2 linked regions of the Rhinolophus ferrumequinum genome follow. The protein of the gene in region 2 binds, or shares a complex with, the protein of the main gene of each other region. Links are inferred from orthologs where the notes say so. Each region holds a gene or a part of one and is shown on either strand. Other genes may lie near its edges. The genes, in order: NDP and FZD4.

Region 1 (8,206 bases), on a different chromosome or scaffold from region 2:
GTGGGGCATCAGAGGAATTCCAAACATACCATCCCAGAGAAATTTTAATATGTTCCACAGTGTCATACACGAAGAGGAAATGACAGCTGATCAAGGCTAGGGCAGGCCACAGCAATCTGGGCTCTGGCGCTCACCCACCCTGACATGGCCTAGCTTCCCTCTGCTTTTAGCACTTCTCAGTGCTTCCACCTGCCTCTCCATCCCTTCTCCTCCCACTGGCCCAGTTAGAGAGCCTGGACAAAGTAGCAGTAACTGACTGTCATGGGAAGAGGTGAGGATGAACTGGAAGGCTGCTGGCCAAGAAGCTGAGGGCTGGCTAGGGTGAGTCAGGCACCCCAGGGAGTCAGAGGCATTTTAATCCAACCACGGGTATTATCTGCTGATAAGGACCAAATCAAGGACCCTGGTGATGCTGTCTTCAGGATTTTGTTTTGTTTTTTTTCTTTTTCCAGTAACCTACCCATGTCAGAAAGCAGGAGACTGGATTATCTGAAAGCAACAATGTGTGTGGCTCTGACAGAGACCTGGGTTTGAGGAACAACTTCCAGCAACTTCTTCCCAGAGGCCTCTTGAATTTAGGCCAGGCCCAGAGGTCATTGGTTTCGATACTGGGGGTGGGATAAGCAAGTGAGGAAGATAGTGACTGCATCTTCCTCTGTACTTGCTTCTAATTCAATGATTCATGAAGAGGCCCTAATGTCAGCTGCTGACATCAGGGGCAGCCATCCCTGATAAAGATACCATGTGGTCCTTTCTAAAAGGTGTTCAAGAGACTAGAGAAAAGATGAACTGCCCTTTTTCCAGGTTTCTTCTACCCAGGCAGGAAAGATCCTGGCCATGTTAGCTATGCAAGTGATGTGTACCCAGGATCCAGTGATAAAGGCCTAAGGCGAACCCCTTAATCATAAATGGAAAGAAAACCCATTGATAAGTGACAATTATTTCAAGTAAATCTGGCTACTAGCAGATATTTTAAATAATGCCTTATAATAAGCAAGTCATTGCCCAGTTTACCCATTGGCAAAGTCCATTTCAGTTCCAAAATCTAACTGGAGATAACATACACTGAGAATTAGGGCATGAGACAATGTCTCATTCACCATTGTATCATCAGGACTAGCATAGTTTATTAAAAGAATGATGGAATGAATAATTAACCAACAAGAATAATAGTACTTGAACTGTGAGTTCTGAAAATGGAGTAAAAATTGCCAGCCACCATTGATGGCTATAATTCTGAGGAACTCACCATGTTTTTCAAGGTCCCAGGAAAATAAATGAGTTGGAAATTGTTAAATGTATTGAAAAATGATTTATTTTTCCCTTGACATTGTCATTGGAACTCATATTAAGATTGAAAACTCCACAGGCATGTTTCCATCTGTGAGTGTCAGCTGCTTGGTACACAGTCATCAAAAAAGCCTCAACCAGTTCTCCCTTTACCTGAACCAAATGCGTTTTAAAATGAATGATGCAAAACATTACATTTTGTGTTCAGACACTCTTATATAATAATCTGAATAACAGTTTAAGAAAACTGTTTTGATTCGGTTAAATGCCTTGTTGACAGCAGCAGTTTTTGGAAAAAAAAAATCACTGTAAAATTGTATAGCAATAGAATCCATAGCATGATCTTAGGCTTTCTCAAAGAGTGAATATCCCAAAGTTGTAAATTAGCTCATCCAAAAGCTAGATTTTCTTTTAACAATGTTTGTTAGGCTAATTATTAGAGAAAATCAGAAAGGTTCCCACATAAACCATGTCTCCACTCCACAATGAAAACTGATCGACAGAACCCTAAAGTTACTTCCAGAAGCCAGATGGGTGAGAAGAAAATGGGCAGATATCTGCATTTCGTCTAAACACACAATCCAGAAACATCTGCAGTCCCCGCTTTATTTGGTTGACACCACAATTAACACTGCATTTTAGGCATCTCTATGTTTTCAAGTGCACCTGGTATTTAATATTATGTGTTGGAGCAAGTTGCCAATGCCAGCTCATTGTAATTAAAATACACTAATATTAGAAATGAAAAGGACATCTTTCGCAGCATCCATATCTGTTATTAATGACAGTTGCAAAGAATAGGATGTGGGACTCCCATCATGCCAAATAGATTCCTTTCCTGCACCTGAATCTCAGTAGAGAAAGGAGTCTGCCTCTTTCATGTAGGATTTTCTGAGCTCGTTGATTACAATGAGCCTCAGTTACAGGGCGTTCTGAGTCATTAATATTCTGCACACAGTCAAACTTCCAGTCCCCCAAGAAAGAGTTATGCTCAGGCCTCCTGCAGCCCAATTGTTCATTTAAAGAGAGAACTTATATTCAGGAGCTTGAAAGAATCCTCCAAATTTTCCTCAGGTAGGATTCATTCTTACACGTCCTGGTCCCTGTGCTGCTGAGAGCATCCTTTCCAGGTCTCTGCTTAGACAGCGTAGCATCGGTCCTGCTGCAGGAACAAGCTGATTACTAAAAATAACCCTTTGCAATAAGGCCAAGGCAAACAGCATGCATTTCCTCAGACTTTTTGCCCAATCAAAATCATATTGTCAACCCATCCTCCTCTCTCCCCAGTGCTCCTGACTGCATCTATGGAAGCAAAGTCCTTGCAGGTTTGGAGAAGAGCGCAAAGGAACAAGATTCCTGCAAAGCATGACACAGAAAGCTAGAAATAAATGTTGCCTATTGTTTGAAGTCATCCTAAGCACTCCGACAGAGCCCTGGCAGGACATCAGCAGCATACACAAGTAGTAATAAAAGTAAACAGTGCGCTTTTAAACTCGCAGGCTTGCCCGCGTTAATAGTGCCCCCATTGTAAGAGGGATGAGGGCGGCGGGGAAGATACTGGGGTTTCAGGAATCCATGTCGGCTTCTCAGTCTCCTTTCACAGGGTCAAATATAAGAACCATTACAAAGTTTCATCTAACTACACAGAGAGTTTGAAAATCAAATCTCTTTAAGTCAAACCAAAAGAGATTTTCCAGCCTCTCTGTGAGGCTCTCCTGCTCTGTCACAGACTTCAAAGACACGTTCATTTAAAAAACACAATGCTAGCATGCTACAGATTAATGCAAATTAAATTAATGCAAATTTAAGTGGTATTTAAAGGTTGTCTCTTTGTCTGAGAGGAGGATGAAATGCTCGGTTTGGAAAGAAGTAATTTCCTAGGCAAGCCGTCAGCGCTTGTTTTCCTGCTTACCTTGGGGGAAACGCAGGGCTCCTTTCAGACTTTTCTGAGAGCTAGAAAGAGGTCCTGTTACTTCCAAATGCTTTTGTTCTTCTGTCCCTCTGTCACATGGCTTGCCTTTTATATTTGCAACACACAAAAGTTAGGACTGTTGTTTAAGCGACACAGGGAGAGAGAGAGGGAGAGAGAGAGGAAGAGAGAGAGAGAGAGAGAGAATGTCAAATGGAAAAGTGCCATTGCAGTCATATATCAATCAGGCATGCGGCCGCAGCAGCGCACTAGCAAATGGGAATGCCACGGAAATGTGAGGCGCTCGTTATCGGGGACTCACAGCCGCTGCCCACTGCTCGGCTCCCTTCCACGGAGCATCTTGCGATGGGAACAACATAGAAGAGCAAGGGCAAGGAAGTCCCCCCATTTTTGTTTGGTATTATGGAAATAATAAGGGGCTGAATGAATATTTTGAATTTAATTCTTTGGCAAGCCTGTGCTGCCATAAAGATGTGCAGTCCGCAATAAAGACATATAGTTTTAGAAATACAAAGACAGAGTGGCATTCTGTTTAACGATTCAGCAGCTGCCTGGGATAAAGTTAAAAATCTAAGTAAGAGAGGAGAAAGATGGGACTCAGAACTACTCAGGCTGTTGAAGCAAGTGCAAAACGCTGCCCCCTCCCCCTTTTTTTTTATCACAGTGTGTGTGGGTGGTGAGAGTTCTTTTCTAAGTTGCTCATCCATTAAATGATTTTTAGCAGTGTATCCATGATTAAATCCACAATGGCACTTTAATAAGTGCCTTCATCTGCATCATTTAGAATAAAATTTTAGATCTGATTTAGAAACAAGAAAGTGTAAGCCTTGACTCCTTGAGATATGTGAGTGTGAGACTTACAGGTAAAGCCAACCCACCACACCATAACTAGGAGAAAAATGGCAAATGTAACTATGTGTGTGAGCTAAGCACTTATTAGCTGAATAATAGTTATGAGGTATTGGAATACAAAGGGAAATATTTCATAATTCTCGCCCTTAAGAAGCTTAAAATTAAGACAGAAAACTATCAGCAATTTTTGTGGAAAACACAAAGAACCATTGAACCATTTATAAAATTTTATGTCAGATGGACCCAGTCCCAGAATAATTTTTTTATTAACACTAATGAAGAATTAAACTGAGCATATTAAAAATGATATTTCACAGAACAATAAATATATCATAACACTTACGAAGAACTTTCTCTTGGGAGCTCCGTATAATTGTTGATGCTGAAGCTGTCATGTTCAACTGTATCACATCATTTATTATTCGTTAATAGATTGATAATCACATTGTTACTTTTCCCCAGAATCTTTACTCCATTCACTGATGTTTATAGGGGGTGTCTTGAAATTTACAGGTTTACATCTACCCTATAATAAGAAGTTCCTTTTCTTTTGCTCTACCAGGAAATCCCTGTCTACTTGGGACCAGCCATTCACAAACAGAATCCACCTACAAGGATAAAGGATAAATGACAAGTTCAAAGCCTTGAAAAAAACAGCTGGCATTTGGCTGATGATGATACTGGCTAACTGTCTTAAAAGCAGAAGATCAAAAAGCAAATGGAAATTGGGCCTGAAAAATGGAAATAATATGAAAGGGGAAATGACTTATAGCTGAGTAAGAGCCATAGAAATAGTCATGAACACATTTTCTGGCTCAATATTGTGGGTCAGATTGGGAGAGAGAATAAACTCTTTGGCTACCAACATTTTCAAATATCAGAACTTGATGTCCATCCACCTTTTCATTTCTCCTACTAAATAATTTGTGGCTTTCTCAACATATGCTCCCACTCTGCCCTGGTATCTTTTGCCTTTGGGTTCTCAGAGTCACTCTACCTGCTCTGAAGTAACATGAAAAGGTGTGGTTCTTCCTGGTTGGAATTTTCCAGCCTTCTATAATCTGTGCTTCTGGAAGAACACCACAGAAAGTGTAAAGATTGCAAACACATTGACTGCTTGGCCACAGATAAACTCTCTCCCAGATGGAGCCCCACTGCTGTCTCCAGCCATTATTCTATCAGAGGTGGCGAAGAATACCATCTGCTGCCCCTTTCAAAAGGGAAGCTTTGTCTCCACCAGTTGGGCTTCAGAGGACCAGTTCCTGAGCCTATCAATAGCTATCTGGCAACAGCAACTCTTTTTAGCACATCACCATGCTTTTTGGAAAGGTCACTGTGCCAAGTGTAGTTGCTTTACTGGCCATTATTAATGTTGCTGAGAAATAAGCGCTCTCTTTAAATTTCTATCTACACAAAAAGTGATGAAAATACTCCTGCTGTTATTTCATATGCATTTGGGGTGGGAAGAATTTGGAGAAGGAGATGTCTATTATCTGGATGGGAAATTCTTCCAGGGACCACGCCTGAGTTTTTTATTTCTGGTACTGTTTCCAGGTTGCCTCTCTCTTTCTTGGTGGCTGTAGTGGATATTTACAGGAGTCATACAACATCCAAACACCCCTGGATGGATATGTAATCCCAAAGCAGGTAGGAGGCAGGACCTGCCTCTTCCCTGCAGAAACTGAAGGGAGCAAATGTTTTCTCTCCCTTTCTCAGGGCAGCTGGAGGGCCAGGTTTGACCAAGCCTGGGTCACCAGATGTGCCAGACAGGCGGAGTGGCCAACGCATGCAGACAGTCAGAGGTTATTCACTATGGTCACACTGGAATAGAGAGCCCAGAGGTTGTAGCAGCCAGCACCGAGGTCAACAGAGCCCAGCCATGTGACAGCAGGTTATCTGGGGATACAGGGTCCATCCACGACAGCATTCTAACCAATCTGGTTTTTTTGACTGCATCCGTTCTGGCCACCATTTTATGAGCCTGGGTCTCCAGCTTTCCTGGTGATTCTGTGGACTGCCCCCATCACCACACCCACCAAGATCCTGCTAATAAATTACTTTTTGCTTTAATTAGCTAGAGACAGTTTTTGAGGTTGGTAACCAGTAGTTCTGGCCAGAACATTGCATTTTCCAATGTTAGGCAAACTGACATCATTAACATGCAATTGGAAATGAAGTCTCTACTTCCTCTCAGTTACTTTCCCAAACAAACGGTTTCAGATTCACTGTCACTCTGCTATAACATTTTGAAAGTGGAGAATTTCCATGTGAATTTATAACAAGATCCATTATATATATATATATATATATATATATATATATATATATATATATATATATATATATATATATATATCTCGAGGTGCCCAAAAATGTATACACATGTACACTTTGGTCAACGTTGCTCAAGCAGTAGTTCGCAGTAATCAGAAGTGTCTGGATGCTGATGGTAACCACGCTGAGCACCTCTTGTAATTGCAGAAGTCAAACGTGACTTGTATTCATCTTTTGTTCTTGGTATATATTGAGTATTACAATTTTAATAGTTTTTTTCCTTTCTTAAAATGTGTATACATGTTTGGGGGCACCCTCTGTGTATATTTATCAAGATACTCATTAAAAGCAATAACATTTGATATTATATCTACATGGATACAGATAGAGGTGTGTGTGTGTGTGTGTGTGTGTGTGTGTGTGTATGAAATCCCAACATACCAGCATAGTCTGCTAAGTATGGTTTATAATTATCTGTGAGAATACTAATCTTTACCATCTTCATGAATATGATAGTATTTATTAAAAATACCTACTAATGACAATAACCACTATTTAATTGGAGTGTACTCTCTGCTGGGCTCTGTGCCAAATGTTCTATATGCATAATCTCTTTCAGAGGGATACACAATAATCCTATAAGTTAGATACTATTATTCTCTATTTTATAAGTGGAGAAACTGAGGCTCTGAGAGGATAATGATTTCTCTGTGGTTGACACAGAAAGCAAATAGATATGAGTTCTGTCTTTCCCATCTCCAAAAGGCCATGGCTTAGCCACTATACCATGCTGCCCTCATTCAACAAAAATTCACTGAGCAGTGATTTTATAGTAATGCTCTGTTATTTGTGGAGAATACAAGTAAAGTAGGACATGGATATAGTTCTTAAGATGCTTATGATAGTGTAATGAAGAGAGAAATGTTAACTTCTGAACACACAGCAAGATAGAATGTGATAGGGTCACAAGAAAAACAAAATTTACAATAAGATCAAAGTGGTGCATTCAGGAGAATTCCACTGGGTCTGGGCTTTAAAGCCATAGAGTGGGAACCTGAAGATGCATATGAGTTTTTTGGAGGAGCACACAGTCAGACATTTGGCTGGGACTAAATGTATGCTATGGTGAGCCTGGAGGATGTGGTGAGCAGAGGAGGAGACAGGCTAGGAGCTGGGTCCAGATGAGGTTAAAAAGGAGAGTGGAAAGGCAGTCTGAGACTATGCAAGTGAAAGAATAAGACTGAGGCAGAGGAGCAAAGATAGGTACCATGGCAAGGATGCAAATAGATACTTTCACTCATCCGTACATTCATTCAACAAATATTCTTTCAGTGCCTCCTACCTGCCAGATGTTCTTAACCCAGGGGTTCTAGCATTGGATAAGACAGACAATGGTAATGACGGAGGAAGAGATCAGTAAAGACACTTTCAAGGTAAATAATAAAAACTTGAGTATCAATGGCTTAAAACATGAGTACATTTATGGTGCTCCTTCAGTAAGTAAATAGCTGTAGGGTTGGTACAGTGGCCATGGTATTATTAAAAACTTAAATTCCTTCCACTTCCATCGTGCTCAACATTGTCAGCTTCTGTTTTTCTCTGGCAGGTCAATTCATGGACACAAGATAGCTGGTGGAACTCTAGAAATCACATCAAAATTCAGATGTCAAGAGGGAAGGAGACAAAAGCTTGCTTTTTATCTACTTCTATCAGGAGGAAAATCTTTTCAGAAACCCCAAGGGTTTCCCCTTGCATCCTATTGACCAGAACCTGGCCATATTCCCACCTCAAGAGTAATCTCTGCAAAGGGAAACATTTTTATGACTGGCCTGGCCTGATCATGACCCATGCCCTTGGGCT
Region 2 (7,667 bases):
TAAGCAATGCTATAAATATTATAGCACATACTGAGAAATATGATGGGGCGCTCAGGGTAGGAAAACCGGGAAGAATCGATCAGGAAGGTCAGCACTGTGAAGGCGGTGGAGATGAAGCACAGGCTGGCCCACACGGCCATCCAGATATCGGTGAACTCCTTGGCCGAGCGGCTGTATAAGCCAGCGTCGTAGCCACACTTGAGAACGCAGTTCAGGCTCCTTTTCACCCAGATGTACTGATCGGAATTGGTTCCCACGGAATGGCATTCTTCCCCAGGCTGGATGGGGGTTTTGTGAGGTAAGGGCACTTCCTCGTCACCTGGCCCTTCCATGCACATGTGGTTGTGGTCATTCTGTGGTGGGAATTTGCTGCAGTTCAGGCTCTCCGGCCAGGCAAATCCAAATTCCTTTAGGACAGGTTCACAGCGTCTCTTGACCGAAAGACACATGCCACCGCATGGGCCAATGGGGATGTTGATCTTCTCTGTGCACATTGGCACATACACAGAACAAAGGAAGAACTGGAAAAGTAATGAAATGAACAAAGGAAACTGTGACTTGGAAGCATGATCGAATGCTTGCACAAAGCTGAGTTATACACTTCCAGTCAAAGTACACATCTACTTTTAAACCAGCCTATAGGGAGGCCGAACATTTATGCTGCCCTCAAACAAGAGGGCCTGATAATCTGTCACTTACTCACTTTTCTTCTTTTGGTCCTAGTAATCCTTCCCAGAACATAAATAAAAATGTATAAAAAGGACCCAAAGAAATATATAATCCCTTTTTGCACAACACTTAAAAGAAATAAACCTTAAAAAACTGACTTTGTCTCCCTTCTTTTTCAGCTACCATTTGAAAGAGCAGAACAGACCAATCAAATGACTCAGTCATTTCGATGATTGGGGTGACTTATTTCTATCCCCATTTCTTTATCACCAGAAAAGTAAATGTTAAAAAATAGGTAGATCCAGATTTTCTCCTGTTAATATTCTCTCTTTTCTATATTTTATCCCTTAAAATTATTTTTTAATCAGTCCCACAGTGAAAGAGAAAGTGTCCTAATTAAGACACTGTTACACCCAAGAATAGGATGCAGGTTAAGTTCTCTGGTCGCCTGGGGTTTGTTTGGCCAGGTTTCCATAATGAATAATAATAAAGCACAATAGGAAAATATAAATGTTAAGTCCCTGAAACTGCAATACCAGTAGGGGAGAGTCCAGTTGCTGTCCTCAATTCCTCCAGCATTGATAAACAGTCTGCTTGGCTCCTTACAGATGTTGTCTATGAAGTCTAGAGTTACAAGTAACTATTTTCCAGCATGAAAAGGGATCCAGTCTTGTCCTTCAAAACAGCTTGGCTGCTTCCCCAGGATACATGTAATTAAAAATATATATCCCCGCAAAAGCTGTTTCTCCAACAAAATTGCCACTGATGTCAGGATATGTTCTGTTTCCAAACTGAGAGCTAGAGGATCATTTCTTAAGCTTTTATAACCTAGTTCTAAAGTTCTGAAACTTCCCAAGGGACATTTCACCAGCAATGGGTCTAATCCCAACCATCTTTCTGAAAACATAGAAACATAAAAGTTCTGAAAAAACTTTTAAAATTTTATACACACACACACACACACACACACACACACTCACACACACCATGTTTCCCCGAAAATAAGATCTAGCTGGACCATTAGATCTAATGCAACTTTTGGAGCAAAAATTAAAAATTAATATAAGACCCAGTTTTATTTTACTATAAGACTGGGTCTTATATTAATTTTTGCTCCAAAAGACAAATTAGAGCTGATTGGCTAGGTCTTATTTTCGGAGAAACACGGTATATTTGTGTATATGACATGCACCTAGTAAGTAAGCTGCATGCTTGTTTCTTATCTCTCAGAAGTTGCAACCAGAACCACAGATATTGGAAGCTTTTAGCCTGGACAACTATCCCCTATTTTTTCCCCCCAACTTCTCTCTTTTCTAAACTTCTTAAAATCACTCATAGCCTCGCCAAACAAAATGAAACCAGTGTTAACACTTTTTAAAACGTCCTTTCAATTCTTTTTCTTTTCCAATGAATTGGTTGTTGTTTTTGGAAGATTATAATCACCCAGTATATGCAAATTCTTTCTTCACTTACTGCTGTAGGATGAACATCTTTTGTATCATTACATAAGCTTTAAAATTGTTAATGACTGCAAAAAAATAACAATGATAATCTTTCAATATACAAATTACCTTCTTCTTGGAGCTTAACCATACCATCACTTTTTTCCCAAGCTGTGTTTTCTCCCCCTCCAAGTACTAAACCTGCCCTCCACCCTGAAGAACAAATGAACTCAAGCCAATCCAACCATTCCTTCCTGAGTGACCTCTAAAGTCATGCAGGACGACCTGAGGAGGGGCCATTCCGCAGAAAACCGCGCAGTGTTGTTTCATTTCATAAACCACCCAAAAATATGGGGGAGAAACGAGGTCGGTGAGGGAGAGGTTCCCAGTTCCTTATCTCTCCTCCAAGTCTTAGTTGCAGCTGGCTGCCCTGCCGGGGACTCGCCCACTGAGCAGCGGCGGCCAGAGTCCTTGGCAAAGATAACCCTCAGCTCCACTGGGGTTAGGGGCTTGGCCAGACACGGGTGGGCAGGGGAGAAAAACGGAAGGGCGGGGTGTAAGAGTGGGTTCTTTCGCAGGCCAGATGACTTACACAACGTTTTTGGCTTCCCAGTCCCTGAGAAGGGACAGAAAAGTGGGGGTAGGGATGGAAGTCATTTTTTCAGGATAGTTATACCCTTCAGCCTAGGAAAGGGTCAGGGGGCTCGACATGGCAAGGGCTTCAGGGAGTTAGTTTCGGGTATCCCTGCCCAAGGGGTCCCGCCAGGGGTGGGGGTGGGGGCGCCCACCTGCAGCTGGCTGGAGCAGCCGTACTGGATGAGCGGCGTGAAAGTTGTCAGCTGCAGCTCGGCGTCCGTCTGCAGCTCGTGCCCAACCAGGTTGGGCATCTTGGTCACGTTGTAGCCCAGGTTCTGGCACATGGAGATGCGGATGGGGTCGCAGCGCCGCTCTTCCTCGTCCCCGAAGCCCCAAGCCGACCCCAGGAGCAGCGGCAACAGCAGCAGCAGCCGCAGACTGAGACTGACGCCCCCGGGCGCCCCCAGGACGCTCGGCCCTGCGCCCCGCCAGGCCATGGCCAGAGCCTAGGGCAGCAGCGGCGGTGGCGGCGGCGGGGGCTGCTCCAGCAGACACCCCCAGTTTGCACCCGGGCGCTGACTGCCCGCGCTGCTCCCAGCTCCTGGGCAGAGTGTGATACGGTTCCAAGGGCGATGAGGGGGCAGCGGCGGCTTTCCAGCAGCTGCGCGCAACTGTGTGGGATATTAGACTTCCAGGGCCAGAGCCGAGGGACAGAATGCGAGGGTCATGGCTGCAGGCGGCGAGCCCCCGACCCGACGCGGGCCGTGTCCGCACGGAGTCTCCCCGAAGCCCGCCAGCACCCAGCGCCGCGCCGCTCTAACTGCTCAAGCCCTCCGCGGTGCTAGGGGTTCGCTGGGCGGTAGTGGAGCGAGACGGACAGCGCACCTCCCCAATGGCCGGCGCCGTGGGCAGCGGGGGGCGGGGCCTCTCTGCGGCAGGAGGGGTCAGGCCCCGCCCTCCGGCGGCTCTCCGCGGTCCCTCCTTTCCCTCTCCTGAGCGCCCCGCCCTGCTTCCCCGCTCTCGCTTTGCTCCCACCGGGTTCGTGGCGTTCAAGGGCCAGGCAGGGATGGAGCCGAGTTGCTCCGGCCGGGCGAGCCTGCCCCCTCCTCTTCCAGGTGAGAAATGCTCCCAGATAGGTCGGCTCCCTTGCCTTTACTCCTTCCAGCTGTCACATCCGCCGGTGGCCACCTCCCCGTCAGGCAGAGAAACGTACACAAAGAACACGGGATTTGGATTTACAAAGATTGTGACTTTAAACCCCAGCTGTGTGAACTTGAGCAAATTGCTCAACCTCTGGGCGTCGGTTTCCTCATCCGTGAAGAGAATTAGGAGGATTAGAGAGAATGCGTAAAATGCTTAGCACGGCGCCTAGTACAGCGAGAGCTCGCAGCTATTTTCACTCCTAACTCGCTGGGTTGGAAGCCCGGCCCCCCTCTCCCCGCCCCCAGGCTGGGCCGACCCGCGCTCGAGAGGGGCCTGTCTCCAGCCGCGAGTGGGGGAGGCGCCCGGGAGCAGCCGACCAGCCGACGGTCTCCCGCTCCGATTTCCTCACCGTATGAAATGAAATTCCACAGGGGGATTCGAAAGGAAATGAGACCGGGACGCTCCGTGCTTCTCGGCCCGCCGCCCTTCCTGTCTCGGGGACACGGTTTCTAAATAAGGTTGGGAGGGTGAGAGGGCTGGAGGGGAGAGGCTTGACCTGTGCAAGAGGAGGGGGGTGAGGGGGGCCAAGAAGGCGCACAGCCACCGGTGTTCCCTTCTCCCAGTGTCCCAGGCATCCCTCCTCTGAAGCCTGCATCTCTTTCTAATTTATTCTGCTCCTGCGTAGGGTCCAGCGGATCACGCGACCGGTGTTTTGGATCCAACTTTCCCCTCTCATTCCTAGGTCTTCCTACCCCCACCCCCTGGGACGCAGCTTTGTGTTAGTTCACCCTGTCCCATTTCCAGCTGAGCCAGTGAAACCCTCAGCAGGTGGATTCCTAAACCATTTACTTGTTACTTTACTGTGGTCAAGTTATTGCATGTCTCTGAGCCTCAAATTGGCCATCTACTATAAATGAGGCAGTTCCCGTCTACCCCACACAGTAGTTCTAAGAATTAAATGAGAGAATGCCTGTAAATCATTTCACACAGTGTCTGGCACACAGTAAGTGCTAAATACCTTGGTTATTGTGGGACAGCCTCCTGCTTGCCAGCATGGTGCCAAACGGTATCTCCAGCAGCCCAGGTCTGAGGATCTGGTGAAGAGCTTTCCTTTTTTTCTGAGATCTTTTTGTCCCACACTTGCCACTGTTTACCTAGGGCTCGGTGACAGGGACAACGTTTTTATGCGTGTTTGTGTCCTACCATTTCAGCTAAGTCTGTCAAATGGCAGAGGCTGTATGTAAGTTGGAGGGATGTGTGTACCACTAAATGTGGTGCTCATATTCTGTTTTGTATTTTTAGTTTTCTTACATTGGCAAATAAACTTGGCTGAGGGCAAGAATGGAATCAACATTTTTGGTATCTGGCTCTGTGCTTAGAACTGTTTGGGGCACATACAGGCTGCGTTATCTCCAGCCATCATCATCACCTCCCAGGGAAGGAGACTCCATTAGTGCCTTGAAGATATGAAGAAACTGAGGCTAGAACCAAAGGGATAGTTAGAAAATGAAAGATCAACCAAACCAGGGCTCACGAGAGGCCTTTCAAAGGTGGGAAATTGGGTTGTTTCCCCAGAAGAGTTCCCAGCTGAAAATCTACATACTCAGCAGTAGGGTCGAATGCTCTGTATGCCTGGGCTGAGTAATACATGAGACCATTGGCCTACAGTGATGACTAAATGATTAGATGCATGTGTCAAATAAATAGAAGATCCCCACCCTCTAGGAACTCGCAGGAAGAGACAGAGAATAAACAGATAACTGTAACTCAGTGTGATAAGTGCACAGAGAGAGAATCGGGGGCAAATTGAAAGTAGAGGTGCTAAGTTTGGAGGGCTGCTCAAAGAGGGATGACCTGCAGGATTCTGAGCTACTCCACAAAGCGGAGTTAGTGTGCAACTGGCACGTCTCCTGGGGCACTTACAGGGAGGGGAAGGGGGTTTGCTTTGTGCTAAATGTATGTGTACACGGTTTATTAAACAATGACCTCCATAACACAGGGTCTGATACACAGAGGGAATATCATTAGTGTTGGGTGAAGGAATACTATTATCAAATCAGTAACAAATAACTCATCTAGAACCTGTACTCTGTGCCAGATACTATGTAACATGTTTAACATACGTATTATCTCATTTATTTTGCACAACTTGAGAAAACTGATGTTCTGAGAGGTTAAGCAATTTGCCCAAGATCACACAGTAAGTGACAGAGAAGGACGCAGTTGCATGTCTGTCTGGCCCAAAAGTCTGTGTGCAGGGAGTGCACGGTACTGCTCCCATAGAGGAAACTCTTGACACTCAATTTACTCCGTAAAGATGACCCTTTTGTGATCTGGGCCTCTTATACCTGGCCCTGGCATCCCTGCCTCAGGTTGCTTGAAGCAACTGTCTCCTTTGAGAACACTCAAAGAAGAAGCCTCTTCCCGGTCAGAAGCTTTTCCTGTCAACAGCTTTTCTTTCCCGGCATGGAGCTCATGGCAGGTATTTTCCAAAAAAGAAAGCCAGGGGAATCACATTTCAGTCTGAATGTGGAAAGAAAACAAAGACCACAACTTAGAGCTAAGTCTGAATGGCCTGGAGCCCCTCAGTCTCCCTCTCACAGAGCGGTTTATAGTCGCCAGTCTGCTCCTGGTGACAGGCATGGCATGTTTGTCTTTGTTGCAGAAAATACTTCCAGGTAGAGGGCTATCCCCCCTGTGACATGCAGAGCGTTTAGGAGAGGAGTAGGAGATAGGGACATGGGAATAGGACCTTCTATGAACCTAAAGGGCAGGCCGTGACCCCTAGTGGCTCTCGCCTGAGTGCCTGGACAGCTTCCTCCATCGCTCTCAGAGTAGTGAAGATGCACGCGGCACACTTTGGAGCTGCAACAAACATGACTTCAGGGGGCTGGTGGGCAGTTGGAGGGCTCTCCATTTGCATCTAATGAGAGGCTAGATTCTAATTAACTCCTGTGATGTGTTAATTTTTCAACCTGACATCTTCTGCTCTAATAGATTCTTGTAATGATTCCTAAATTAAAGACTGCATTGGAAGAGTAGGGTTTAGGTTAACATCCACCACCTGCGAAGGGGTGTGGGGGGGGCGTAAACATCCTTTCCCTCCTAAGGAAAACCTCTCATTTGCAGCTTTTTGCTAACCCAATTAAGTGCTGAAGTAGTCACCACAGCCTGCTTTTTACTTTCTGCAAAACAATCCAACTAATCCATATTCAGTAGCTTCCAAGAAAAGTCTTATTCCAACCACTCATGGAGAAACCAGCTTCTTTGAATCTGGACGGAACATTTAGAACTCACAATGAGCTGTCTTGATAGAAAATGCAAGAAAGTGGTTCCTAATTATCCTTTTCAGTTTTGGAGGGGAGAATTCACTGGGACTAAAACCTCATAAGGATTGCGAGTTTACCGGGGAACATAGGAGCACAGGGAGAAGCCGTGCCACATCCCATCCGTTGATAGATAGTCTGGGTGCTACATCTTCCCCTGCACCCAAACTGTTATGAAACAAAAACGTGTATACTAAGTAAAGCAGAAGGGAACAGGAATCTTGCTCAAAGTCGAGGAATGAGAGGCCCCAAGGGGTTAATAAACAGCTCTTAAGTGGCAGAGCCAAACCTTCTCGTCCATTGTACCACTAGTCAGCAGAGAAGAATCTGGTGACCACAGAGCTTTTGCATATCAAGGACTCAAAGCCCTATTCCTCCCACCACACATAAGATGGTACATGGGACATTCTTATTTGTTGGTTTAATATATAGATGGGCAACCAAGAGCCTTTGCCGGAGGCAAAAAATAATGTAAATGCACTTTGTACCTCCACAACCTCATTTCATGTCC

What was found.
Region 1: the proteins of FZD4 (region 2) and NDP are in contact, whole or in part, in a crystal structure (PDB 5BQE), measured with the Homo sapiens proteins. The link is inferred for Rhinolophus ferrumequinum from reciprocal best matches to the Homo sapiens genes FZD4 and NDP. Residues at the interface, in NP_036325.2 of Homo sapiens: Ser51, Met52, Gln54, Asn55, Leu56, Gly57, Gln95, Phe96, Met105, Thr107, Lys109, Ile114, Asn152, His154, Met157, Cys158, Met159, Glu160, Gly161, Pro162; in NP_000257.1 of Homo sapiens: Asp33, Ser34, Pro36, Arg38, Met40, Arg41, His42, His43, Tyr44, Val45, Asp46, Lys58, Met59, Val60, Leu61, Lys102, Lys104, Leu106, Tyr122, Leu124, Ser125.

The regions. Positions count from the first base shown.
Region 1 is NC_046284.1:89,627,633-89,635,838, reverse strand, and holds the start of NDP (norrin), read right to left. Parts: upstream 3,516-8,206; 5' UTR 3,203-3,515; intron 1-3,202. UniProt on the Homo sapiens protein: Activates the canonical Wnt signaling pathway through FZD4 and LRP5 coreceptor.
Region 2 is NC_046294.1:59,627,897-59,635,563, forward strand, and holds the start of FZD4 (frizzled-4), read right to left. Parts: upstream 3,504-7,667; 5' UTR 3,185-3,503; coding exon 2,900-3,184; intron 522-2,899; coding exon 1-521. UniProt on the Homo sapiens protein: Receptor for Wnt proteins.